Saccharomyces cerevisiae S288C: one gene and its partner. Changing the gene in region 1 together with any one later gene gives a genetic interaction. Each region holds a gene or a part of one and is shown in the gene's direction. Other genes may lie near its edges.

Region 1 (2,952 bases):
TGGCCACAAAGAAATTTACCGAAGTACACACACCAAAACTGTTGGGTGCACCAAGTGAAGGTGGTTCCAGTGTGTTTGAGGTGACATACTTCAAAGGGAAGGCCTACCTAGCTCAATCTCCACAATTTAACAAGCAACAATTGATTGTGGCCGACTTTGAAAGAGTTTACGAAATCGGGCCTGTGTTCAGGGCTGAAAACTCCAACACCCACCGTCACATGACCGAGTTTACTGGTTTGGACATGGAAATGGCTTTCGAAGAACATTACCACGAAGTTTTGGACACGTTGAGTGAGTTGTTTGTGTTTATTTTCAGTGAATTGCCCAAGAGATTTGCTCATGAAATTGAGTTGGTACGTAAGCAATACCCTGTTGAAGAATTCAAGTTACCTAAAGATGGTAAGATGGTTCGTCTAACATACAAAGAAGGTATTGAAATGCTAAGAGCTGCCGGTAAGGAAATTGGTGATTTTGAAGACTTGAGTACCGAAAATGAAAAGTTCTTGGGTAAGTTGGTTCGCGACAAATACGACACCGACTTTTACATCCTAGACAAGTTCCCCTTGGAGATCCGTCCCTTCTACACAATGCCCGACCCAGCCAACCCTAAGTATTCTAACTCGTATGATTTCTTCATGAGGGGTGAAGAAATCTTGTCCGGTGCACAACGTATCCACGACCATGCTCTATTACAAGAAAGGATGAAAGCCCATGGTTTGTCTCCTGAGGACCCAGGTCTAAAGGACTACTGTGACGGCTTCAGCTATGGGTGTCCTCCACACGCCGGTGGTGGTATCGGTTTGGAAAGAGTTGTTATGTTCTATTTGGATTTGAAAAATATCAGAAGAGCTTCATTGTTCCCAAGAGATCCAAAGAGATTAAGACCATGAAGGAGTCTCCTCCAACGTTTTTATGTAGCGAGTGAAGGTAAAAAAATTTTCAACATTTCTAATTTTTTCCTGTCACCCACTTTTATTTTAACTGAATTATTATATTTAGCTTTACACATATAAGTCTCAACGTCTGACATATGTCACACTTTCTTTACCGCCAGACCACTTCTAATATTCCGAAAGCAAGGGCTATGAGCAGTCCGACAATTCGGAAACCATAGCTCGCCATAATTTACACGCTCTATGCACATATTAAAATACATTTAAACAGTACTTACAGCGCATCTGGGATGGTTCGGTTATGTACCAGGACAATATTAAGTTGACGCGTCAGTTGAGTAGTAATCGTCCTAGTATTTTCGCCTACCATGCCGCTTTTTGCGTTTTTGACCGCCTCTGGTCCCTTATACAATCCACAGGCAAAAAAAAATTACATAACAAGATTACTCTTCAAGAAACCTGGAAAATATTTTTTTGGGCAGTTTTTTAAGACGATAATAAGTTCTATGCCTCATTTACGCACCAGCGGTTCTATTACCAAGCTGACTCTTATCGGCGATGAGTATGATCTAAGGCTCGGGCCGCCCATTTTGCTGCTCCCGGTCAAGTAGCACGCTCCCTCTTTTCTTATCGCAGGCTTTGCCCACTACCCGATCTCTAAAGCGCCCATTTAACCTTTTTTAAAACAACAGCTTAAAAGCTTTTTGGATAAAAAGCTTTTATTACTACATCTCTGCATCTTCTCTCCGGGGTCTAAGAAAAGGGCTCAAATTCGCGGAGTTGAGAAACGAGAAAATCCAAATAAAGCGAACAAGAGGGAAAAAAATTTTTTCTTCCGTTCTTTCCTTCTTCTATACTTCAAGAAAACAAGCAAACGCACCCACTACACACAAAGTATCTTTTACGAAACATAACACAAGAATCCAATGTCAGGGAACCCAGGAAGCTCGCTGAGCGCATTGAGACCTACTCCACCCGAGAGAGGTTCGTTCCCGCTAGACCACGACGGCGAATGCACCAAGTACATGCAAGAGTATCTCAAATGTATGCAGCTTGTGCAGAACGAAAATGCAATGAATTGTAGACTACTGGCAAAGGACTACCTGCGGTGCAGGATGGACCACCAATTGATGGACTACGATGAATGGTCACATTTAGGTCTTCCTGAGGATGCTCCAGGCAACAACGGTAAAACCATAAAAGACGCCACCGATAATAAATAGCCGCCCACATCGGAATATCGAATAAAAGCTAGACGCTGTTGGTAATATCATACTTTCTACAACAACTGGTAAAGAACTTCTTTTTTTGAAATAGCCGCCGATATGGCGCGAAGTGACCCTGCTCGAGGCTGTGCGGGCCCAGGCCCGTCCGTTTCTTTTTTTTCTAGGGGGCGGCAAACGGGCCAAAGGGGTCAGCGTGATTGGGCGGTTTTCCACAAAGCTTTAGTCTCTCTCCTCACGCCTTGGCTTAGTGAGTGGCCGGAGTTAAAGTTGCGAGGAAACACACAGCGAAGGGAAAAAGCTTTGGCGTGCTTAACGATATGGCTTATGGCCCGGTTGCAATGCTGGTTTAGTTTCCGATTACGATTTTCGATTTGAATCCTGGCTCCACATCTCCCACCCTCTTTTTTTATCTCTAGCATCGTGCGTTGGATTTTATATTATGAAGTTCCTATATTAGAATAAAGTTTAGTATTTACTTCCCAGATCTACCGGATTTACAAAGTATTGTTACCTCACCACCAAGTGAAAGGAAACAGTGCAGTAACTCCTCGTGCTTACGCTAACTAAATAGATATTATATTCACGAAATACTGCGCCAGATAGCAAGCAAACCCAAAAAAAAAAAAGAAAAAGAAAAAGGAAACAAAGTGGGAGACAGAAAAAGAGTGAAAGAAACATAGTATTTACCAAGTCGAAGATTTAGCACAACAAAGACTAATCTACACGCATACTGCTCTTCTTCATTATTGCTTTATCTTCCGCGTACCTTAGTTATGTCACAGAATATTCAAATTGGCACTAGAAAACGTTCAAGAGCAAATATGAATAATTCC
Region 2 (3,515 bases), on another chromosome or scaffold:
AATTACCAAATACTTTCTGTAGCACAGAATGTATTTGTAAACGACGAACAAGCAGTGAAGAATTTCAAAAAGGAGTACAAAGATGATGAACCTGTCCTGCCTATATTGTTATTTGCATTAAAGCAGTACCGACCCGATATAATATCTGAAGTTCAAAAAGTAAGAGAAAAGGAAATCAAGTTTTGGGCACAACTCTGCCCCTACTTCACCAGGCGCAGATTAGCAAGTCAATCACATTTACTACATGCAGACAACATTTTTTTCCTTGTGGAAACAGGTATGTTGAAGGCAACATATGAACTACCACAAGGAACCTTGTACGAGATTTTTTCAAATGGCACATGCTTCGGAAAAATCATTGCGCCAGGGAATGCTATGCCTAGAGAACAAAAGCTCACCATCGAAACTGAAACTGATTCCGTATTATGGGTTATAGACTCTAGCTCGTTGAACAAATTGAAAGAAGACAATCTAGCATTGTACGTGGAGGTTGCATTAATGGTCATGTGTATCAAGGACACCAGATTCAAAGAATTACTAGGTTACACACTTGTTAGCGCATGAGAGCGTACACGTATATTTATTTAATTTCTTTTATTGCCGGCGTATTGCAAGTAATTTACACCAGTACTAAATAAAAGCAGGATGCTCCTGCATCTGTATAAGTGATGCCGTTGTAGGATTTTTACCATCTCGACTATAAACTTTTTGTACTTGAGTCTTCACTTCCGGAATTTTACTGCGCGATTTTCTTTGATAGGGCCCCTATCGTAGACGAAAAGTGATAATTCCCATCGATGAGCAACTACATACCTCACTTGACTTAATTGCTCTCCTAAAGAAAAAAAATACCGTTACTTTTTTCATTAATATACTACCACAACAATTCACAACGGGTAGTTGTACGGTTAGTTTATATCCGCATTAACAAATCAAAGTCATAACAACGTATCAACGTAGACTATGCCTGTCCCATCTGTTACTGTCACTACCGATAATGAATATGAAGACATATCGTCCTTTTCTTCTATTGACTCTTACAAACCGGAGCCCTTTACTGGGTTCAAAGATTCTGAAGCTCCAGAACAGCCTCTTTTAAAAAACGATACCATTGTTGGAAAGGGGCAACTGGAAGATGATAGTAATGTAGATGATCAACACCGTCATTCAGATGTGCATTCTCATCACAGTTCTAGTACTTTAAAAAGGCCAACTTCAAATTCGATAGAAAAGATGGTTACCCACAATGCTTTAGAGGGCAACTCAGAAACAGTTGATTCCTTAAAAGAAGATGGTTTAAATTTGAACAAGAAAGCTCTTCCGGATATTACCGCCCCAGTAACAAACTCAGCTCACGATGCTGCATTTCCAGAAGAGTATCGTTTAGAAACTGAAACCGGGTTGGTCAAATTGAAGACGCTTGAAAGTTTGAAGAGGGAGGACTCTCGCGTATCCTCAACTAAAAAAGAGCATATTAACGACCATACAGATATGCATTCGACACGATCCAAGGTTACTACAAATTCTCAAGGTTCTTCTCTAGAACCAAACAAGTTGAACATGGCAGTAGAGAAGAATAAGAAGAGGATCGAAAAATATCAAAAACATAAATCAGAAAAGGGGATCAAGGGGTTTTTTCATAGAATTTTCGATTAAGTGGCATAGCAACATTTAGTTCGCAATGCGTTTACTTCAGAATCATTCTTTTTTTTTTTTTTTTTTTTTTTTTGCCTCACATTATATTCTTGGCATCTGCCTAGCTTTCGACTTTTTCGTTCAATTCCTAAAGCGCTAAAAAAATAGTCTCCCCCTGAAAGTGGAGTAGGATAGTAGTATATGAAGTGAGGCAGAAAAGGAAAGAAACGCTTGCATTTATTAACACACCTGTGGCTAAAGTATTAAAAACCAAAAACTAACGAACAAATAATGTGCATTTTAATGGCCACAAGGGCACATCCTGACTATGAACTCATCTTAATATCTAACAGAGACGAATTCTTGGCAAGAAAAACACATGCTACATGCTGGCATAACAATGATTTTATCCTTTCACCCTACGATCTGGCCAAAACCTCAGCAGAAAAACAAATATTTGGCACTTGGTCTGGCATAAATAAAGAAGGAAAATTAGCCACTATTCTTAATTTAAAACTTGACAATGAGCAAAATAATACGAAATCAAGATCCCGTGGTCTGTTACCATTTATATTTTTGTCGATCCATAAAGCAGATTTTGAAGATTGGGATAATTACAAAAAGTTTGAAGGTCACTATGATGGGTTGAAGTCCACAGGTGATTTTAATTTTTTTTACGGCGACGTTATCAAAAAGCAATATAAAGTTATTGATTCTCTAGGAAGAACTTTTGATGTGTTGAGTTCTACCTGTAGGAAAGATCTTGATTCTTACATGGTTGTTTCTAATGGTAAATTTTATGACAGCTCCAGTATACCAGGGCAGGCTTGGGAAAAAGTAAAGGTAGCACGTGATAGTTTAGAAAATCTAGTTTTAGAGAATATTGAATCAGATGAGGAGAAAATAATATCAAGTTGCTTTCAACTCGCCTCGAAGTCTTCCCTTCCAAGCACTATTTCAAACCCAGATGTCTTGCAGATGGTAGATCCAAATGTAACCATGAATACCATATACGTACCACCTTTACGGAGGCCTCCCAGGGATGACTTAGGTGCCTCAATTCCTGATGGTGATTACTACGGAACTCGCTCTCAAATAGTTTTACTCGTGAGTAAGGATTCAACGAGAGTTACCTTTATAGAAAGGGTCCTTTATAGCTCAGATGAAGACGTGCGCAAGTATTCGGTAACCTCACCTAAGGAGGAAAAAAGGTTTAAATTCAAATTGTAAAAATCACAATCTTCCATTTTATTTCAAACTAGCTTTAAATTCCATCTTCTTCCCCTCAGAACATTCCGGTATCTCTTGTTGGACACATCTAATGTATATGATGTTTTCAAATTCTAAATGCCTGTTAGTTTATCAGTAACCACAGTAGACGCTATATATATTAGTTCCTTTTCTATATAGGTATTATACAATACAATCAAATTCATTGCATACTCAAATGTCCAAGTATTCCATGGTGTAAGTGGGTAAGGCTCGCTTCTGAGAAGTTCCGTTATCAAAGGTTGAGCTAGCAAACCCATGCTGAAAACCTTTCGTATCAATCAAATTCCACAATTCGGTATTTCTTTCAGCAATCTCAACTTGTTTGTCAATATATAAGGTTAAGTTCTCCAATAGAGCACCTTCTAATGAAAATAGCCCGATAGAATCTAGCACAAGGGACAAGAGTTGAAATAGCTGCGTGCTTTGGCTAGGGTTGAAGCATTCTGGTGAGCTGTCTTCACCACCGCTTGTTATGAACTCAATGAAATTTTGAACGTCTAATTTACTTAGTTTCTTCATTTCTTGTTTAATAGAGTCTCTGGTGAAATCCTGCAAAATCCTAAATGAGATATCAAGTAATAGTTCCCTGTTTCTGATAGAAAACAATT

What was found.
Region 2: mutations in COX19 (region 1) and YGR127W together harm fitness more than expected from each alone (negative genetic interaction), as found in Saccharomyces cerevisiae (one large-scale study listed by BioGRID).

What each region holds. Positions count from the first base shown.
Region 1 is NC_001144.5:107,840-110,791, reverse strand, and holds COX19 (Cox19p), read left to right. Parts: upstream 1-1,819; coding exon 1,820-2,116; downstream 2,117-2,952. Other genes in the region: aspartate--tRNA ligase DPS1, read left to right, coding at 1-890; serine/threonine protein kinase KNS1, read left to right, coding at 2,893-2,952. UniProt on the Saccharomyces cerevisiae protein: Required for the assembly of mitochondrial cytochrome c oxidase.
Region 2 is NC_001139.9:744,872-748,386, forward strand, and holds YGR127W (uncharacterized protein), read left to right. Parts: upstream 1-1,926; coding exon 1,927-2,865; downstream 2,866-3,515. Other genes in the region: VSB1 (Vsb1p), read left to right, coding at 1-564; YGR126W (uncharacterized protein), read left to right, coding at 964-1,656; UTP8 (Utp8p), read right to left, coding at 3,079-3,515.